Arabidopsis thaliana: one gene and its partner. The protein of the gene in region 2 interacts with the protein of the main gene of each other region in a pairwise test. Each region holds a gene or a part of one and is shown on either strand. Other genes may lie near its edges.

Region 1 (3,362 bases), on a different chromosome or scaffold from region 2:
CTTCCTCCCGACCTCCCCACTTGTAACTCTTTTCTCTCTCTCTGATTTCTGATTTTGAATGGATTTTTGACTCTGTTTGAATCAAAAATCAAATCTTCTTTGTGCCTCGCAGATGTTAACATTGAATCGCCTCCTTCCACTCAACCATGCAAGAGACTTTGCGATATTACTGGATATGAGGTTTTATTCTGTTTTTGAGTGATCGATTCTTTTCTACAAATTTATTCACTACCCAAAAACAACAAAACTCAATGAGCTTCTCTAATCCCTCGCAGGCACCTTATGTGGACCCAAGAACAAACCTCCGCTATGCTAATGCTCATGTTTTCCAGACTGTGAGATCACTTTCTTCCGACCAAGTCCACCAGTATCTCTCCATTCGCAATGCTGCTGTTGTTCTCAAGTAGCACCTAGCATCATCTTATTCTCTTACTTGTAAACCAACAACATGTTGAATCCTTCCTTATTATTTATGGTGTGATTTGCTTGGGACATATATGATTGGATTTCCCTTAATGTGTGAGAGATACTAGACCAGAGAGGTTTCATTTCAATTCAACTTTTAGAAACACATTGATTTTGAGTACATCCTCCTGCATTCTATCTACATCAAAAACATTCACCTATCAATAAGGCTACAAGAGACAAATGATAATGGAGTTGCCTTCCTCATGGGGCTTTCCTCAAGATCAACGCCAATATGTAACAAAGAGCAGCATCCACCGATGATAGCGCAACAATGAATACAGCTACCAGACACAGACTCAGTGTAGCAGTCTTTAGCTGTTTGTTACCAAAACAAAAAAAAACAAAGTTACACCCACAAACTATCTCTTTCTTTCTCATATGTTGTAACAACAACAACAAGACATACCGTGCTTGCAAAAGTTGGCCACTCTATGTATTTCAGCTGACTTGGTTGCTCAGCCATGAAAGACAAGAGAGATCTCGTGCTCCTTCTCACAAGAAAAATGCAATTCAATATAATGCAACATTCAGACTCTTCCAGCAGATATATATATTAAAAGCTAGACTCAGTGGGAGAATTTCATACCAGACCATGTCTCTAAGAAGACTCAGCCATAAGGGCTCTTCTTCGGGAAGCTTCTTATGAGAGCTCCAACTTTCACGAGCGGAACCTACAGATCCCACCGTGCCACTTCCACGCACATGTTTATGACTGACTCTCCCATTGATACTCTACACACTCAAACAGAGCTTAAGTGAAAAGCTTCTTAAGCTGTTAAGCCGCAATAGAAAGAAAGGTAAATTACCAAATCCCCAGAAAACTTGAAGCAAATGGGTCCGAACCCATCGCGTCTTAGAATCCGGTGTGACGGAGCCAATCGGATTACGCCTATGAACCAAAATCGAAGCTAGATGATTACTAAGGACAATATCAAAAAGCAGTGGGAAAGTATATAGAAGAAGCAACCGGAGCGAATAGTGACCTGAAACAGTTGAGAGCAGCCCCGGAGAAACCACCATCCTCCCTAAATCGAGCGTTGGAGGAAGACGAAGCTGATCTCGCCGTCGCAGATATCAAAGGCCTTCGATGATCTATGGGCCTTTTTTGGGCTCAAAGTTTCCTGGATTATAAACCCATTTTACCAATGACATCTTTTACATTTTAAATTACTTTGGAATTTGGATTGTTGGAAATTCTAGTTCATTGAAGAAACTGACAATCTGACATTACAGAAGCTGATTATGTATGTGATCCATTTGGTTAAGAATGAAAATGTCTATTGAATAGTATTTTGTATCCACGATGATGACATCTAACTAAACTATAACTAATCCTTTCTTTGGTACTGTTACCATATGCTGTTTTATTTTGTGTTTAGATAAATACATGTCTATACAAATCTCATCCCTCATCCCCATCCCCATCCCCATCATCATCCTCATCATCATCATCATCATCATCCCCATGATCATTATCATCATCCTTCGTAATCTCAACATCAACTTCACCATTCTCCTCCTCTTCCGAACTATCATCATCATCTGAACTCTCTTCACTAGATTCATCGTCAGAATCATCATCGTCATCCACATAATATCCGTCGAACCATCGTGGGTTACCAAAACCCGAAGCCTGTTTCCAAGAAGCAAACATACAAACATTTAGTTTGCCTTCCAAAACCAAATTCAGCCTCCAGTCACATGTATTGTATCCAAAGTTACATTCTTGTTAACTAAAGCATATCCTCCGAGTCTTCAAACACCAAAAATAAAAGAAGCAAACGAGGTTAGCAATAGATGTGGCATTACCTGTTTCGCATTTCCTGGCGACAGAGGTTTCTCGGTTCCTCCAGGAGTCCATATTTTGATATCAGTATCTATTCCACTGCTACACATCAGTGGCATGTGAGGATGAGACTCTATACAATTGACAACATGTCTGTCTGCTTCCATGGCACGGAGAAGCTCTCCGTCTTTCTTCCTCCAGATGAATATTCGGCCGCAGTCAGAACCACTTACCACATACTCACACTTGGGTCCAAAAAAGTTGACACCTTTGACTGTTTCACGGTTCGTGTGCTCTTTATAAACCTGAGGCGTCATCCTCTCCTCAGTCTTAGTTGAAGATGGATATGGGGTTGGGCCAAGCCCCATATCAGGGGTGAAAAGATAGATGAACTCGTCACTATACGAAGCAAGGAGCTCACTTTGATCCGAGAAAGCCAGACCTGTTATTCCTACATGGTCATCTCCAATCAAATGGCCAGGACAAAAGTGGTCTATGGGTTGGGTAAAATTATACCAACCCTCGGAGCGATAGCTACGAATATCATAGACACGAGCATACTCATCCATTCCAGCCACGGCAAGAAGACCAGGGTTCCTAGGATCAACTGCAATTGCATGCAAGTAGACAACTAAATTGAACTTTGCTTCTTTACAAGTGAAAAGATTTGTAGCCACCCGAGTCCTAAGATCAAACTGAAAATACGTGTTGTTTTAGGCGGCCTAGGTATAAAAACAGACGATAAGAAAACAAAATGAAAAATACAACTCACATGCTTGACAGCCCCATCCTCACCACAAGTATAGAATGAGAAAGGACTTCCAGGCTCAACAGCCAATTTGTGGACGGGTCCTTGATGCTTACCCAACAAAGAAGTCTCTACCTGTCCAGATTCAAGAATCTTGGAATAGCGGACCTGTTACAAAAATCAACATAAGCTAGTTGTAACATGAGGAGCTATCAAGAGGTGTGGTTCGCGGTAGGAGGTATGAAGAGGAGAGGCAGAGTGGTACCTGCTTATCAGCAGCAGATGTGACAATGGTACGATCGTCAGAGAAAGGCATAAATTTGGCTTGGAAAATATTATTGAAGTGGCCGGAATCGAAGG
Region 2 (6,186 bases):
TTTGAGAATATCTTGTTTTTGTACAGGCATGAAAATAGCCGGTGTTTTGATCGCCTTCCTTCATCCATTGATTACGACTCTTCTGCTTCCAATAAATCTCTTCGTCACTAAAGGCCTTCGCTAGTGACTCTTGAAGTTGTGGAATTAGTTGTCTGTCAACCCTCCTTGTACTCTCCATTGCTCTGTTTAGGCTGCTTTGAAGTTTTTTGATTCGTTGTTCTGAGTTTAAATTAGAAGCGTGTTTCAGTCTTGCCATGGCTTGTCGACAACTACTGATCCGTTCCGTGATAGGTGTAGAACGTGAATTCCGGTTTGTCCTCCAGCTTGTTTGAACAATACGTTTGAATGTCGGTATGTCAATTAAGCGGTTATCAAAACGGAAAAGCTTTGATCGACGGGGAAATGACTCGTTGAAGTGAACTAGGACCGGTTTGTGGTCAGAGCCCGTGAAGTCCAGGAATTCTGTTTCAGCATATGGAAATGTTGCAGTCCAGGCTGAATTAATAAAAACTCTGTCAAGGCAACATTTGACTGTGTGTGTATGTCTTTCCCCTACCCAACTGAATCTATCTCCTTTTGATCTCATATCTTCAATGTCACAATGAGAAACCATGTTTCTGAAATTTCTAAAAGTCCATTCCTCTCTCATGGGACCACCAATTTTTTCAGCGTTCGAAAGTATCTCATTGAAGTCACCCACTAGCAACCATTCAGCATTTCGATTATCTGAGATATGTTCAAGAGTTTGCCATAGTTGATGACGTTCAGATTGAGTAGGGTGACCATACACACAAGACAAGTAGAAGCTCTTATTATTAAATGTTACATGAGAATCAATGAGTCTTTCATCCTGAGAAATCAAGGATAAAGAGACATTGTTTTTCCACATAAGAGCTAAGCCACCACTCCTTCCATTAGGGGGCTGAGTTATTACATTAGGGAAGCCTAAATCATATGCTAGTTTACATACTTTATCACACTGGTTTAAGGTTTCAACTAAAAATAAAATATCATAGTTATACATACGGAATAAGCGAAACAACCGCGATTGAGTCAGCGGCATACCGATGCCCTGACAGTTCCATGAGATGATCCTCATATTGGATCCCTTAGGGGTACCGGGCCCCCCGCGCCTCCGTCACGTCCATCATGTATCGAACACGATCCTGCAGATTCAGTCTTTCTTCCTTTCTTGCAAAGTTGACTCAGAACGCCCATTTCATCTGCAGCTTCCACCTGTTGGTACATTTCTTCTAATCGAACCCTCTTTCTCTTCATGAAGACAAACTCATTTTGTGCATTGTCAGAGGACTCAAGGAGCAGATCTTTCTCAACCGGTGCGTCAGTTTTAACTCCTGCAAGTTTGGCGTGAAGGTAGCGGAGTCTTTCAACTGTGAGGTCTGTGTCCTCAATGACGCATGGAACCGAATAACCATCTGAAAGTTTTTGTACCTGGCGTTGATTCCCCTTTGAAAGCGAAGATTGAAGGCCGGGAATAAGAGTCGCTGGATCCACTGTCTGAAGAGTATCAGTGTCGCTTATGTCATGTTCTTTGTTGTCGTCGTGATGATCGTCATCATCATCAGCATCATCATCATCACTTGTCTCCACCGGATCTGCCCAATAGGAGACTAATATTATTTTGGGGTTCTTTTTGTCAGAAATTACTTGGATTTGTTTTTTTTTTCAAACCACACAGTAATTAAAAATAAAACTTTTTACATTGGCATTTTGGTCTTAACAGCATTGTGATTCTTCTCCTGCCAACAAAAATTCATCTAATACCATCATCAATTATATGGATTATTACAATTTTGTTTTGTCATTTCATTCTAAAAAATATGAGTGATCTAATTCTTGTAAAATTTTGATGTGTAACCTGAAATATTGATACACTAATCTATAGCCAATTAAAAATGACAAAACATAACATTGGGTAAATAGTAACATAAAAATATACATGAATCATAAATTTTAAAAGTATGCTAAGTATGTATAAGATTTAAAAAAAAAAAGATTTTAAGAGAGTTATAACAGTAACACACTTGAAAGCCGAAGTTTTGTTCTTCCTTGTCTCAGCGCCGCGTTTTTTCTCTCCTCATCCTCTCGATGAATTCCTCTCAAGCTTGCTTCTTCCATTTTTCTCTTAGACCAATCTCGCTTTCGCATCCCTCCTATGCCTTCCTCTCGAAACGTAAGTTTTCCTTCCCCAAATTAAGTGCTTGGGAATCGAAATTTTAAGAGATTGTTGTTACCTAGACTAGTTCAGGATACAATCGTTAGAGTTTCGTTGCTTCGAATTGATTAAACCCTAATTTCAAAAGCACAGACCTGGGTTTTTCACTGTTCCTGCAAAGTTGATAACTTTTTCACTGATACTATCTCTTAGACTAGTTCTCTTAACCCGGAAATTCTCTCAAAGTATCCAACTTTATGAACAGAAACAATTGTTGAGGCATGTGTTTTGACCTTGATAATGTTTTTGCAGGAGACCCATTTCTGTGTTCTCAACCCAGAAAATGCCTTACTACGAATTTGAATATGTCAAGAACGAGACAAGGGCATTCTATACAAATGAACAGAAGACATCTTCTTATGAAAGAAAGGAAGAGTTTTTCGATAAATTATTCCGATAAGTTCAGAGATGATTCTATGAGTAGCGAGGAGATGCATACAGATGCTTTGGATGTGGAGATTATTCCGCCAGATTCACAGGACATTCGTAATTCACAGAACTCTGCTGTCTCCAACACACTACAGGATGATAGGCCAAAGTCTTTTAGAAATAGGTTTCTTGATTTTGTTCGGATAAGTTCAGTACTCAATACTGCAGCAGAAAGATTCTTTAAGAGCGAGATAAGGAGGAGGTTGTTTGTAACGGCTGTTTTGCTTGTACTTAGCCGTGTTGGATATTTTATACCTTTACCTGGATTCGACAGAAGATTAATACCTCAAGATTACCTTAGCTTTGTCTCGGGTTCTGTTGGTGAGTGTTCTCATGTCATTTGAGTCTTATAGTCCCTTGTTTGGTTGACATTTCTATGTATTTGTAGTTAACATTTTATGTTTTTGATAGAGGAACTGGGTGAGTTTGGAGCAGAGATCAAGCTTTCGCTCTTCCAGCTTGGGCTCAGTCCACAAATAATAGCATCCATAATTATGCAGGTTAAGATCTCTCCTCGATTTGATGTGTTTGCCTGAGTCTGTGCGTTCTTTATATATTAAGATTATGATTGATGATAAAGTGCTCATGAAACACCAGGTGCTTTGTCACGTTCTTCCATCCTTGGTGAAACTGCGAAAGGAAGGCTTAGATGGTCACGAGAAGATCAAGAGTTATATGTGTGTTTAGTTTCTTACCTCTCAAGCCGTGAGATGAATTCTTAACATACAATTACTTTGTTTGTCTTGTGACTTTTTTGCTTCATTAAACAAAGTTACTAAATCGCCTTTTTGGTCTTATTTTATTAGATGGTGGCTATCGTTTTTCTTCGCTATAGTGGAAGCATTAGTGGTGGCTTACACTTCTCTTCAATATTCAGTTTTTGCAGCCACTGCCCAGTAAGTTAATTAGGATTCTTCACGTTCGGGGTATCAAAATGGTGCTTTTAAATTCTATCATCCATTTTGCCACAACTGATGCTAAAGTAATAATGCATGCTTATTCAGGGTCAAGCATGTGATGATGACATCATCTCTGCTAGTCTGTGGTGCAATGACAATGACGTGGCTCTGTGATACAATATCAGAATCTGGATTTGGTATTTGATTCTCTATATCTCTATCTCTATAACCATTGGTAGCTTAAAGTGATGCTGATATGGAGTAATTGGTGGAGCTTGCTCATAACCTGTTTCTAAGCCTTTTACAGGTCATGGCTCATCTCTGATTATTTGTGTGGGAATATTGACGGGCTACACAGAGACTTTACACAAGATGCTCAATCAAATCTCAGGTACCTTTGGTTTTTCTTACTCCACATTTCTCAAACTTATGGTTAGTCTTTACATTAGACCTGCATGTCTTCCACATTTCCTGGAGGCAACTATCATTCGCCTATCTTCTCAATTGATTTATAAAAAAAGGAAGCGTTCTTCTCTTTTGCAGGAAGTTTCTCGAACTGGTTGCCTTACTTGTTAGGCTTGCTGGGCATTTTTACCGTAGTAACTATGTTCGCTGTTGTTGTTACTGAGGGCTGCAGGAAGATTAAACTACAATATTATGGTTTTAAACTTGCTTCTGCTTCGAGGTGATATATGTAGCTCAGCATCATTATTTTATCGAAAAGATTGTTGTATAATTGCCACTTTTACCAATATAGCTAGGAGTAGATTACGGTTAAAGTACATTTGGATGCAACGTGTGGTTTACTCATATTTGTGTTTATGCTATGTTTTGCCATTTGGGCAGAGAAGGTTCTCCAATAACAGAGGTGGAGCCGTACATACCTTTTAACATCAACCCGGCTGGAATGCAACCTGTTCTCACAACCACATATCTTTTGGCATTCCCCAGCATTCTTGCAAGGTAAATTGCTTGAAGAACCTCTTACTATTAGGGTTTAAATCATTCCTGTTTCTTACTTCTTTGTGTTATTGTTACCATCTAAGGCTGTCTAATAAGGTAATTTATTGTTTTTAGTATTCTGGGTTCACCTTTCTTGCTAAACATGAAGGAGATATTAAACCCTGAAAGCACAGTTGGAGCACCACCTTGGGTCTATTACTCAATATATGCGTTTTTCGTCTTTCTCTTCAACATATTTGACATTGTGAGTAAATCCATTACACTTTTTCTCAGTCTGAATTTCAGTCTTCCAATGAACATTAAACATTACATTTACCGGGTTTCTTGTTTTGTTATGTAGGCCAACTTGCCAAAGGAAATAGCGGATTATTTAAACAAAATGGGGGCGAGAATACCGAACATAAAGCCTGGGAAAGCCACAATCGAGTACTTAACGAAGATACAAGCATCAACTAGGTTTTGGGGTAAGTTAAGCTGTTTCATTTTAGATATATTGCGTATATGGTACAAGTATAATCTCTAAAAACCATTTCATTTGGTTTGATGCAGGTGGCCTTCTGTTGAGCTTTTTGGCAACAGCTTCTACTGTACTTGACCACTATCTACGCAGCATCAATCAAGGCTTTTCTATCGGATTTACATCTGTTTTGATCATTGTAAGTGTTCTTTCCACGTATCAATATCATTCAGTTTAGCAGTATTGATGTCGTTGTGTTAATAATCTCTATTGTTTGTGTACAGGTTGGTTCCATTATTGAACTCAGAAGATCTTACCATGCCTACAATGTAATGCCGAGTTTAAGCAAAGCGTTAAAGAGATATGGCGTATAAAGGGAGATTGGAGAAACAGAAGAACTTATAGATATATTATTGTCGTTTAAACTTTAGAAGTTTCTGTAGCTCTTTTGATTAGTAGATTAGGCATTAGATAATTTGTATTAAGAACCAAAACACATTTCCATCATAATATTAGAAGACTTAAAACCCAAGGGCCAAGTATCACAAGCATTTGCGGAAAGATTATGCAGGAATAGTCGAACTTCATAAATGTCTGCAAATACTCCGAGAATTATTGAACTTGAAACTGATTTCTTTTCTTCGTTTGTCCAGAAAATGAGAGTCAATTGATTTAGTTGTGGCATATTTGGCACTAATAGGAGCCAAAGTTACATTTGATTCATAAACGAAAGTCCACAACTAGTCGCATTAAAGAAACAAGAAAATTAATTGTGTCAGTTTTGCAACTCGTGATGACTTAAGCCTGGAACTTTCCACGAATTAGAGGATCCAGAAGATTGCCTATGACATTATAGGTAGCTTCCGATGGATGAATCGAGTCAAAGAACAAAAACTCCGACCGATTTTGACACACAGGAGAAAAAACATTACACATGAAGCTCGTCTCCAGGAACCCTGTTCCACAACATCCTCTCTTCGTCTCTTTGAACCCTGTTTCAATTCCACACACACGAATCATATATATATATATATATATATATATATATATATATACAAATAAGAGAACTTGTGGAACAAGAAAGATCTTTATGTACATACCGTATTTGCTAGGGTTTTGGATCATCTCCATCATAGGATTATAGACATCGGCGTAAAGGAATTTGCTTCCTGGAAGAGATGCTTCGATTTGGGGCAAGAGAT

What was found. The genes of interacting proteins can lie anywhere in the genome.
Region 1: the proteins of SCY2 (region 2) and AT4G38490 interact in a two-hybrid assay, tested with the Arabidopsis thaliana proteins (one study listed by BioGRID).

The regions. Positions count from the first base shown.
Region 1 is NC_003075.7:18,004,511-18,007,872, reverse strand, and holds AT4G38490 (uncharacterized protein), read right to left. Parts: upstream 1,586-3,362; 5' UTR 1,489-1,585; coding exon 1,452-1,488; intron 1,358-1,451; coding exon 1,275-1,357; intron 1,201-1,274; coding exon 1,055-1,200; intron 957-1,054; coding exon 875-956; intron 784-874; coding exon 670-783; 3' UTR 501-669; downstream 1-500. Other genes in the region: AT4G38495 (chromatin-remodeling complex subunit), read left to right, coding at 1-22, 113-180, 276-407; AT4G38480 (Transducin/WD40 repeat-like superfamily protein), read right to left, coding at 1,871-2,101, 2,278-2,949, 3,027-3,170, 3,268-3,362.
Region 2 is NC_003071.7:13,424,951-13,431,136, forward strand, and holds SCY2 (SecY protein transport family protein), read left to right. Parts: upstream 1-2,060; 5' UTR 2,061-2,109; coding exon 2,110-2,194; intron 2,195-2,488; coding exon 2,489-2,986; intron 2,987-3,076; coding exon 3,077-3,165; intron 3,166-3,262; coding exon 3,263-3,342; intron 3,343-3,471; coding exon 3,472-3,561; intron 3,562-3,669; coding exon 3,670-3,761; intron 3,762-3,871; coding exon 3,872-3,955; intron 3,956-4,107; coding exon 4,108-4,249; intron 4,250-4,410; coding exon 4,411-4,527; intron 4,528-4,641; coding exon 4,642-4,771; intron 4,772-4,867; coding exon 4,868-4,991; intron 4,992-5,076; coding exon 5,077-5,183; intron 5,184-5,268; coding exon 5,269-5,358; 3' UTR 5,359-5,682; downstream 5,683-6,186. Other genes in the region: AT2G31540 (GDSL-like Lipase/Acylhydrolase superfamily protein), read right to left, coding at 5,783-5,976, 6,085-6,186. UniProt on the Arabidopsis thaliana protein: Involved in protein export. Probably interacts with other proteins to allow the postimport or conservative sorting pathway for inner membrane proteins in plastids. Central subunit of the protein translocation channel SecYE.